2 linked regions of the Arabidopsis thaliana genome follow. The protein of the gene in region 1 interacts with the protein of each later gene in a pairwise test. Each region holds a gene or a part of one and is shown on either strand. Other genes may lie near its edges.

The links.
Region 2: the proteins of CNGC18 (region 1) and CPK32 interact in a two-hybrid assay, tested with the Arabidopsis thaliana proteins (one study listed by BioGRID).

Annotation. Positions count from the first base shown.
Region 1 is NC_003076.8:4,807,525-4,813,114, reverse strand, and holds CNGC18 (cyclic nucleotide-gated channel 18), read left to right. Parts: upstream 1-2,021; 5' UTR 2,022-2,217; coding exon 2,218-2,682; intron 2,683-2,843; coding exon 2,844-3,056; intron 3,057-3,140; coding exon 3,141-3,451; intron 3,452-3,527; coding exon 3,528-3,639; intron 3,640-3,742; coding exon 3,743-3,979; intron 3,980-4,064; coding exon 4,065-4,847; 3' UTR 4,848-5,024; downstream 5,025-5,590. Other genes in the region: AT5G14860 (UDP-Glycosyltransferase superfamily protein), read right to left, coding at 5,356-5,547. UniProt on the Arabidopsis thaliana protein: Cyclic nucleotide-gated ion channel required for directional pollen tube growth into the transmitting tract. Acts as a Ca(2+)-permeable divalent cation-selective channel inhibited by either lanthanum or gadolinium.
Region 2 is NC_003074.8:21,295,780-21,301,711, reverse strand, and holds CPK32 (calcium-dependent protein kinase 32), read left to right. Parts: upstream 1-2,007; 5' UTR 2,008-2,360; coding exon 2,361-2,888; intron 2,889-3,132; coding exon 3,133-3,256; intron 3,257-3,341; coding exon 3,342-3,485; intron 3,486-3,618; coding exon 3,619-3,771; intron 3,772-3,856; coding exon 3,857-3,972; intron 3,973-4,074; coding exon 4,075-4,242; coding exon of another isoform or gene 4,243-4,293; exon of another isoform or gene 4,294-4,336; coding exon 4,337-4,564; intron 4,565-4,658; coding exon 4,659-4,814; 3' UTR 4,815-5,255; downstream 5,256-5,932. Other genes in the region: AT3G57540 (Remorin family protein), read left to right, coding at 1-89. UniProt on the Arabidopsis thaliana protein: May play a role in signal transduction pathways that involve calcium as a second messenger. Involved in maintaining Ca2+ homeostasis in pollen tube tips by regulating CNGC18. Functions as regulator of the calcium-mediated abscisic acid (ABA) signaling pathway.

The sequences.
Region 1 (5,590 bases):
GTATGTAATAGAAAGGTGCAAGGATTTTGGTGTGGCACCACCTTCAAGACTTTTTTTTTATCAAGACCTAACTCTTACCACTTTGAAAGCAGCTTATCTTATTTCTTTAGATAAAACAATTGATAAGCGAGTGCTTTAAACTTCACAAAACTACAATCTACTTTTTATTCGATAAAACAAAAGATTTTATTAGTCTTTTTCATTAGGGTCCCAAATGATTAATATGTTCACGATCACGAAATTTCTTCTTGCGTCCCGTAAGCATTTATATTAATCAAACAAAAAGGAAATTTGTTGCTTCCTACAATGGGAAGTGGGAACCTTTGCCATCTTCATAAATGTTTTAAATCTTTTTTTTTTCTTTCTAATGTGTGTTTCATAAACACCAGCGACTTTATTGAAAAGAGGAACACGTAAATTGTATTCTCAAAGAACAATTTTTTTAGGAAGAGTAACATTTGTTTTCCTTATCTTAATATAAGCAACGAAATCAATCGTGCATATAAAAGTGAAATGCTATTTTGAATTTTCTAAACTTGACTAGCAAATTTTCACTAAAAAATAAAATTAAAAAGTAACGATAAAGTAGTTGTCGTATAGTCTACTCCACATGAATAAAATAATAAAGTAAATCAATAGAATGTAAATCTCTTAATTAATCATACTTATTATATAATCACAGTGGCAAAGTGGAATAAAAAAAAAAGAGGAGAATTGGATCCCGTCGGATTCTATATTTAAAGATCGCTAAACATCTCAAATCTGCCACACGTGGTCATACTTAATAGCAGCCATTAACGAAGTAATAAATTAGTCGATAATAATGTTTAACCAACATCGTATTTCTAGATCCATGAATTAGTTGGAGTAATTAACATCATTGTTTCTTAATTACGTTTAACAAGCATAGAGAAAACAATATTGTCACATATGTTAGTATAAGTTATCATAATCATTTATAAAAGCTTGTTATTAATTTTTTATATTGAAATTACTACTTTGTGTCTAATCGGAAAATGATGGAGTACTAAAATTTGAAGGACTAAAATACGTCATTATTGTTAGAGAAAACAATTACGCATAAGTGTGATTTTTTGGAAGTGGAAAAGTTAGTATGTCCCTCTATATGATATGATGGAAGTTGTTGTTCTTTTTGTGTGGATAAACATCATTTTTCCGTGACGTAATTTTTAATTTCAGTATTCATTTTATTATTCTCACTTCTTATTATCCCTTTTATATTCGCATAATTGTTTCTAAGGATTTCTATTCCCTTTTTGTTATTTTATAGGTACACTATCTTATGGATGGTGTCAACAAGCATGTACACTATCTTCCCACTACCACATATTGTCACAGAATGTTTGGTACGCGTGCTTCTATATACTTTTAATAGTACATAACAACAACAAATGAATTATGTAAGACAATTTGTTAAACTGATGTCAAAAACGGAAATACTACAAAAGACAGTATAATTGAATTACGGGTTTAATGTGTTGACAAAATATAATAAATGTAGCTCATAAAACTTCAATAATTCACTTAAATAAATTCTAATGAACCTCATAACGAATTAGATATTTTAACTAATCTTATCATGGTTTTACGAATTAATTATAATTTTTTTTTTTATTCTTTGAACAATTGAACTAAACAATATTAAACCGGACTTTAAGTTAAAACTACTAAAAACATTATTAGTTTATCAATAGAAATGATCATAGCAATTGTATACATTATAATGTGTAATTTTAAAATCCTAAAGCATATATAGTATATATCCCTTTGATTTTCATAGAAAAAAAGTAGAAAAAAATAACTATTGGGCCGATCTATAACTATTGGGCCGGTGGGTCCAACAACTAAGAACAGTAGATATTGTGTCGATTGAAGTTTTGAGATGCAAAACGTGTGCTGTTTTGAGAACACAAAAACAGCATAAACAAACGAGACCCGCAACTATAACATTCCGTAAATACCCTCATTCTCCCATCATATTTTCAAAAACTACCCTTCCCCCTATTTCCATGGCCCTTCTCTCAGTTTTCCCGCGAGAAATCCTCTCCTTCTTCCATAATCATCAAAAACAAAATGCAAAAACCCAAAAAAACAAAAAATCACACGACGCAACCACCTAGCCTCTCTGTCCATCAATCTCAATCTCTCTCTGTGTTAATGCGGAATCCGATTTAACACCGGAATCCGCCATGGAAGATGAATAAAATCCGGTCTCTCCGCTGCCTCCTCCCGGAGACCATAACCTCCGCCTCCACCGCCGCCTCAAATCGAGGATCTGACGGTAGCCAATTCAGCGTCCTATGGCGGCATCAGATCCTGGACCCGGACAGCAACATCGTCACCTATTGGAACCACGTCTTTCTCATTACCTCAATCCTCGCTCTCTTCCTCGATCCTTTCTATTTCTACGTCCCTTACGTCGGTGGTCCGGCGTGTCTCTCCATCGACATCAGCCTCGCCGCTACTGTCACTTTCTTCCGTACAGTCGCCGATATCTTCCACCTCTTGCACATTTTCATGAAATTCAGAACTGCGTTCGTCGCGAGGAGTTCTCGTGTTTTTGGTCGCGGTGAGCTTGTTATGGATTCTAGAGAGATTGCTATGAGATACTTGAAGACAGATTTCCTCATTGATGTCGCCGCCATGCTTCCCCTTCCTCAGGTTCTTAAGATTTTGCTCTTATTTTGAATGTGAAAGCAATGATATGGATTACGATTAGCTAAGATCAATGTTCAAAAATCGTTAGGCGGTAGCTAGAAGATTAAAGAACAGAGATATTTTGGGAGCCTCATGCTTTGTTTCTGACTATCTTTTGATCTCAGCTTGTTATTTGGCTAGTAATTCCAGCGGCCACAAATGGAACTGCTAATCATGCCAATAGCACTCTCGCACTTATCGTTCTTGTTCAATACATTCCAAGATCATTCATCATATTCCCACTCAACCAAAGGATTATCAAAACAACCGGGTTTATCGCCAAGACTGCTTGGGCAGGAGCTGCATACAACCTCCTATTGTACATCCTTGCTAGTCACGTAAGTTTTCTTTATCTTGTGTGTTTTTTCAAATCTTTAGGTTTCTTCAGTTTTAAGTTGCTAAGAATCTCTATTTGTGGGCAGGTGTTAGGAGCAATGTGGTATCTGTCATCAATCGGGCGGCAGTTTTCGTGCTGGTCCAACGTATGCAAGAAAGACAACGCTTTGAGAGTTTTGGATTGTCTTCCTAGCTTCTTGGATTGCAAGAGTTTAGAACAACCAGAGCGCCAGTATTGGCAGAACGTTACTCAGGTCCTTTCTCATTGTGATGCTACAAGCAGCACTACCAATTTCAAATTCGGAATGTTTGCTGAAGCCTTTACCACTCAAGTTGCTACAACAGATTTTGTGTCCAAGTACTTGTATTGTCTTTGGTGGGGTTTAAGAAATCTAAGGTATGACAACCTTTTATCTAACCAGTATCTGCTTAAATTGTCCTCCTTTGGTTTTAATAAAGGTTTTGTTTCACAGTTCTTATGGACAGAATATAACCACAAGTGTATACCTTGGCGAGACCTTGTTCTGTATAACAATTTGTATTTTTGGGTTGATTCTCTTCACACTCCTGATTGGTAACATGCAAGTAAGATTCAGAGCTTATGCATCACTCTGCAAAACTTTTCAATACAGAGACATTTTTTTGTCTTTCTAACAATAGACTTCATGATTTTTAATTTGGTGGAAAGTCTTCTCTGCAATCGATGTCAGTAAGAGTTGAGGAATGGAGAGTTAAGAGAAGAGACACTGAAGAATGGATGAGACATCGTCAACTACCTCCAGAGCTTCAAGAACGTGTCCGAAGATTTGTCCAATACAAATGGCTTGCAACCAGAGGTGTCGATGAAGAATCAATCCTCCATTCATTACCTACAGATTTACGCCGTGAAATCCAACGTCATCTTTGTCTCTCCCTTGTTCGCCGGGTACATACATCAACTCAGTCATCAAAAACTGTTATGGATTTGATTGTTTTTCAATTCAGAAGTCACATTGTTGTGGTAAGTGCAGGTCCCGTTCTTCTCTCAAATGGATGATCAACTTCTTGATGCTATATGCGGATGCCTTGTCTCATCTTTAAGCACGGCCGGGACATACATATTCCGTGAAGGTGATCCGGTGAATGAGATGCTATTTGTGATCCGAGGACAAATAGAGAGCTCAACAACAAATGGAGGAAGATCTGGTTTCTTCAACTCCACTACTCTACGACCTGGCGATTTCTGTGGGGAAGAACTTCTTACATGGGCCTTAATGCCAAACTCTACACTCAATCTTCCGTCTTCAACACGAAGCGTCCGTGCCCTCTCTGAAGTAGAAGCCTTTGCATTAAGCGCAGAGGATCTTAAGTTTGTTGCTCATCAGTTCAAACGTCTTCAAAGCAAAAAGCTTCAACACGCTTTCAGGTACTACTCACATCAATGGAGAGCATGGGGAGCATGTTTTGTCCAATCTGCATGGAGAAGATACAAGCGAAGAAAGCTTGCGAAAGAGCTCAGCCTTCACGAGAGTAGCGGATACTATTACCCGGATGAAACAGGTTACAATGAAGAAGACGAAGAAACTAGAGAGTATTACTATGGAAGTGACGAGGAAGGCGGATCAATGGACAACACAAATCTGGGAGCAACGATCTTAGCATCTAAATTTGCGGCGAACACGAGAAGAGGAACAAATCAAAAGGCTTCAAGTAGTAGTACTGGTAAGAAAGATGGATCTTCCACCAGTTTGAAGATGCCTCAACTATTCAAACCAGATGAGCCTGATTTCTCTATAGATAAAGAAGACGTTTAAAGTGTAGTCATTATGGGCAAAAAACTTTTGTGTGAACTGTTTGGTTTTAGATGGTAAATAGTTAGGAAACTCCCTTAATTATTTCAACTTGTAATTTTTCTTTTCTTTTCGTTTCGGTTTGAGGATGTTAGATATAGAAAACGAGTGTAGAGTAAAAATACATTGTTCTTAAACTGTCTCAATGTTATATAGTCTGATTTCTTCTCATAGTAGATACTACTTTTGCATACAAACTCATTTTTAAGTCTTTCAGAAGAACACTAAGGTGTTGATAGCTTCTTCGGATTGACCAGCCAATATTAACCTCAAAGATAGCAAAAATCTCATAAAGCAACCACTGAATGCAATTGAAATTTTTTGAAACTATAAGACCAAAACCAAGAATTAGAACTCCAAATTAGTCATTCATATCCAATTGAGAAGAATGGACCAACTTTTCAACAAACCTAACATATTTAATGACTAAAATTAGGTACGAAGCCGTTTTGTTATCCAATCCTTAATCTCTCTAAGCATCAGAACTTGACAACTTATTAACACCGTCTGGCTCTCTACTCTTACAAAGCTCTTCCAGAAGCGAATCCAAACTCTTCCAAGACGAACCAGTCCCTTGAGCCATAGCTTTTTTCGCCATTTTCGCATACTCTTTTACATTCTTCATCGTTGTCTTCCCCATCTCTCCCTCCATCAATTGTTTAACCTAAATAGTACAAATAATAAATACAATCAAGGGGTACTCTACA
Region 2 (5,932 bases), on another chromosome or scaffold:
CGGAGGTTGCGAGGGTTCTTGAAGTTGCTAATCTCATGAGAGCCGTTGGACGACCTCCGGCCAAACGATCATTCTTCTCTCTTTCCTAGCTAAGCTATTACTAGTTTTAGTTACATCCAAATGTCTCAATATATATAGGCTACCATTTTCTGTTGGGAATCAATGTGTATATAACTATATATAGAATGTAAGAGTTTTAAAGGTACTGATATATTTTGTAATTGTATGCTTTTTTCTTTGTCTGCACCACATAAAAACTAATAAAATGTTATTTGTAAGCCAAGAAAATTGTTTACATGTATTGTTTTGTCATTCCATCTGCTGAGACTGATACGACTAAAGAGTTAAAGAAAAGAAAAAAAAGGTTCAAGCTCTTACTTAGTTTCCAGCTCTGTTCATTTAATTACTCTCTCTACCTTGGCCTGTCACTCATGTGTTTAAGAGCTTTAACAAAAATGTAATTTAAGACGCCACAATTTACTAATTCAGGCTGCAAAGCTCGAAACCCTACGTATTTCAGGAATGGAATTTCGAACCCACTAAAATCTTGCTCAGACGAGTCTAAAACCTTTTTGCATACAACTTGTATGTATTTCTTACCACACTCTTACGGTGAACAAAACATAGACCTTATACACACAAGTGCAAGAAAGAGAGAAGTAAAGAGATTTTGAGATGGGCTGATTAAGAAAGGCTTATTTTCGGTTTTTGCTTCTGCCATAATGGGCCTACATACCCTTTTTTTTTTTTGGTAGAAATCTACATACCCTTTCTTTGTTAACTCTCCTATTTATTTGTCCATCAATATCATAGATATATTTTGTTTTGGTCGTTTTAACAAACAAGACTCAGTCTTTGGTAAATGATCAAATACTAAAGAAAATAGAGTGTACTGTATAAAACCCCTCATTTCTTGCCTAATTATATATTGCACTTAACTCTCTTTTTTAGTAACGGTAATCTAAGTAAACAAATTACAAATTGAATCATTGACTTGGTAGGAGTAAGACAAACACTCGTGTAAGGAAAGGAATGTCCATCAGGAGCTTTGATATTAATTTAGAGGCATTTGATAAAGTATCTTACCACATTCATACTCCGTTGACTTTGCTAATTATTTTATATATAAACTAACTCTAAAGTAAAATTTTAAGTATTTATGTTACTTTTAAATACAGGTTTCGACCCAATTGCACATATATCTGTAATCTGAACAATTATTAAATTAGTTGACAAAAAAATAAAAATAAATTTATTTCTATATCAGTTAAATTTTGATAAATCAAAATGCGTTTATCGATTTGTTGGTAGAAGTTTTATAGTGCAAAACCAAAATCATCAACTTGACAGAAAAAGCAAATAACTTTGAGTAATTACATATGTTGGTTGTTTTGTATCGAAGTCAAAAAAATTAGTTAGTTGGGTCCGACGAAAGTGATTAAAAAGAGTCAAAATCGCCGTGTTTGACCTTTTAATTATAAAAAAAAAACAGAACATAAAATAAAGGTGGCCGCTTATTTATGAACCCAAACACGAGCGTATTTACGGTTTCACCCTTAACTTTTTTTTATTTCCAAGGCGCTTAGTTTAAGAACGTGTCACAGACTCCGCTTTCTGTTTAATCCATGAGGTAAAATTCCTGAAACACCCCTGTCTTCGTAATTATTTGTATGATTCATTTCACAGATATATATTTATTTGGTGCTAGAATTTTGTTAGACATTCTATAAAAATAAAGAGTTTTCTAAAATTAAAATGAACAAAAATATTCTAAAAATAAAAAAAATTCTGCAGGAGTTTGAAAAAAAACAATTGGTGGACATTTAACTATTTAAGCCTTAATTTTTTTTGTCGGCATTTAAGCCTTAACTTAAGATCACATATATTCACCAAAAATAATTAAAATCACATATAGGGGTAATATTGTCAATAGTAATTTGGTAAAGCTGAAGGCATTTTGATTTCACATTAGAGTAATGTAATAGTAAGAAACATTCTTTGAAAATTAAAAATTTAAAGTGAAAAAAAGAAACAGACAAAAAAAGAAAAAAAAACAATCATAGAGCAGCTGGAGAAGAAGGGAGGGAAGAAGATTCTCTTGACCTTCCTTCCATCATCATCTCTCTCTCTCTCTCTGTAATTAATTTTTCGCAATTTTAATTTTCGAACAAATGATTTGACGTTCTTCTTGGTATTCACGCGTTGAAAATTTCCACCCTTTCATATATTGTTCTTCACCTCCTTCGTTTTTTTCTCATCCATCTCTTCCAGAATTCTCTTAAAGTTTCCTACTTTCCTGGAATTTCGTCCTCAATCTCTCAAGTTTCATCGGTTTTGATTTGGGTTTGATCGGAAAAGTCATGGGTAATTGTTGCGGAACAGCAGGATCATTGGCTCAAAACGATAACAAACCCAAAAAAGGAAGGAAGAAGCAAAACCCTTTCTCGATTGATTACGGTCTTCACCACGGTGGTGGAGATGGAGGTGGAAGACCTCTTAAGCTTATCGTTTTGAATGATCCAACAGGTCGTGAGATCGAGTCTAAATACACGTTGGGGAGAGAGCTAGGTCGTGGAGAATTCGGTGTTACGTATCTATGTACTGATAAGGAGACAGACGACGTTTTTGCTTGTAAATCGATTTTGAAGAAGAAGCTGAGGACAGCTGTTGATATTGAAGATGTTAGGAGAGAGGTTGAGATTATGAGGCATATGCCTGAGCATCCTAATGTTGTTACTTTGAAGGAGACTTATGAGGATGAGCATGCTGTTCATTTGGTTATGGAGCTTTGTGAAGGTGGTGAATTGTTTGATAGGATTGTTGCTAGAGGGCATTATACTGAGAGAGCTGCTGCTGCTGTCACTAAGACCATCATGGAAGTTGTTCAGGTTCGTCAAGGTTTTTTTGCTGTTTATTGTATCTCTTTAGTCTTTACTTGTTGCAGAATTGCAATGGCCTCGTATAATGTCTTGGTTTGTTACTGGTTTCAGTTTCTTGGACATTATTGACTTGTAGCATTGCTTTAAAGGGCTCAATTTGCTGCAGAAAGATTCAAAATTCGTTTCTTTTCATGTAAATTGAAAGTCTTGTGGAGTGATTTTAGATGTGAGATTAATGAGTGTGTTCTTGCAGGTGTGTCATAAGCATGGGGTAATGCACAGGGACCTGAAACCTGAGAACTTCTTGTTTGGAAACAAGAAGGAGACTGCACCTCTTAAGGCGATTGATTTTGGTCTCTCTGTTTTCTTTAAACCAGGTAATGTGGTCTTTCTGCTCAGTAGATAGCTGATTGCTTTGTGGTTTGTCAATAATCTTAACCCACACCGTTATTTTCTTTGCAGGCGAGAGGTTTAACGAAATCGTTGGTAGTCCGTACTACATGGCTCCCGAGGTGCTAAAACGGAATTATGGTCCAGAAGTTGATATTTGGAGTGCAGGTGTAATTCTTTACATACTGCTATGTGGTGTCCCGCCTTTCTGGGCAGGTTAGTTTTGTCAGTCTATGTTTCCTTCTTCTTGGGCCGTCTGTAGCACATGTTGTCTTCAGGGGTAGTATATGAAGAAGTGATCATAAGAATAATGAACCTGGTCTTCTGTTTTTTTCTATACCATTTTCAGAAACTGAACAAGGAGTTGCACAAGCAATTATTCGATCTGTACTAGACTTCAGAAGGGACCCATGGCCCAAGGTTTCTGAAAACGCAAAAGACCTTATCAGGAAAATGCTTGATCCTGACCAAAAGCGTCGTCTTACAGCTCAACAAGTCCTAGGTACAGATTTATATGATGCAATTTGCTTATATGGAATCTGAGACAGACAAAGAGTATTAATCGGTCTTTGCTTCATTTTCCTCAGATCACCCGTGGTTACAGAATGCAAAGACAGCCCCCAATGTATCATTGGGTGAAACAGTGAGGGCAAGGTTGAAGCAGTTCACCGTCATGAACAAGCTCAAGAAACGAGCACTCAGGGTAAAATACATATTACTTATAAACTATCCGAAAATGTATATCTCTTCTGATCTAAAAAGCCTAACAATAGTTTCGTTTGGTCTTGTTACGTTATCTCGATAGGTTATTGCTGAGCATTTATCAGATGAAGAAGCTTCAGGTATAAGAGAAGGGTTCCAAATAATGGACACAAGCCAAAGAGGGAAGATTAACATCGACGAGCTTAAAATCGGGTTGCAGAAACTTGGTCATGCCATTCCGCAAGATGATTTACAAATTTTGATGGATGCTGTGAGCTTTGATTTACCATTACTTTTCAATACCAGTTTTTGTGTGATTTGAATGCAGTTAACTGAGCTCTGGATGGTTTTCTTCTACTTTGCAGGGAGACATCGATAGAGATGGATATTTGGACTGTGACGAGTTTATTGCCATATCGGTACACCTAAGGAAAATGGGCAATGACGAGCATCTCAAGAAAGCGTTTGCGTTCTTTGATCAAAACAATAACGGATATATCGAAATAGAGGAGTTAAGGGAAGCCTTGTCTGACGAACTTGGTACAAGTGAAGAAGTTGTTGATGCCATTATCCGTGATGTTGACACCGACAAGGTTGGTTAACTTCACCATTTCACTCTCGTTTTCTTGTTGAAAAAAATCCCATCTCATAGAGAACTAACCATCATGAAAATTGTTTTTTTTGTAGGATGGAAGAATAAGTTACGAAGAGTTTGTAACGATGATGAAAACAGGAACAGATTGGAGAAAAGCTTCGAGACAGTACTCGAGAGAACGGTTTAACAGTATCAGTCTCAAACTGATGCAAGATGCGTCGTTGCAGGTCAATGGTGATACAAGATGAGAGAGGCTTAATCTGTGTCACTCACCAGTCTGGAAGATTGAATCAAAGGGATGCAAATCTTTCTTAATTTCTTAATTTTTATCTTCTTGGGTTGCTTTTTTTTTATGACACCACGATTAAAGCTTTTTAGGCATATAAAGTTGTAAGAGTTGTGTGTTTGATATCCTGGCTAATGAGCGAGCTGAGTATGGGGATCAAGAGAGAAAAACCGTGTTGGCCTTTGGCTGTGTGTAGATATTTTGTATAATCTTGTGTTGATAAAAGATAATATCATCAATTTTTCTTGTGATCAATCTGTAATTTTCTATAACCATTCAAGAATTATATGAGTTATGGATTTTGACAATGAGAGCTTGCTTTACAGATAAACTTACACGAGCTTATATCGAATATAGGCATTTTAAATTTAATAATTTCAAAAGAGGTATGTTGCACAGTTGAATGGGCCGCTTATTGTCTGATTTCGGACGATTTTAACCTTCTGGAGTAAGTGAGAAATTGATATTCCATTTTTGCAAGTGGTAGGATGATGTGAAAATAGGTGAAGAAGTGAAAACGATATACCCTAGAATTGGACTTGTAAACCCAAACCGTTTAGTTGACAGTCTGCGATGCATACACAGATACAACGACACAACACTACAACATTAATTAGACTTTCTCGGCTTGAGAAGATGAGGCCAATGAAATGATATTAGAGATGACTTTTCACAAGAAATAAGTACATGTTTTCGTGAAGACATATGAGAAATGTCTTAATAAATAAATTCTTAAGACAAATGCCTATTTTGTAATTAACTCAATTTACACAAAGCCAGATGTACAAATAAAATCAGAAACTAAAGTCCCATTTCGTTTTGTCCTGGTGGTCGACTTTGTCTTTGTGGTCACAGTTTTGTTTTCAAAACTGTACAATGTTTTAAATAAGTATATAACGGAAACTATATTGGCCATAAACTTTTATCAATCCCATATAGCTATAGTAGTCGAGAAGAAGGAAAATTCAGACAAAAATATAATAAACGTCGTTATTGGCTTATCGCAGCATCAAATCTAAACAAGTGGACTAAATATTTGTGTCCTCTATATTATTGTCATCAAGCATAAGACACCAGTCA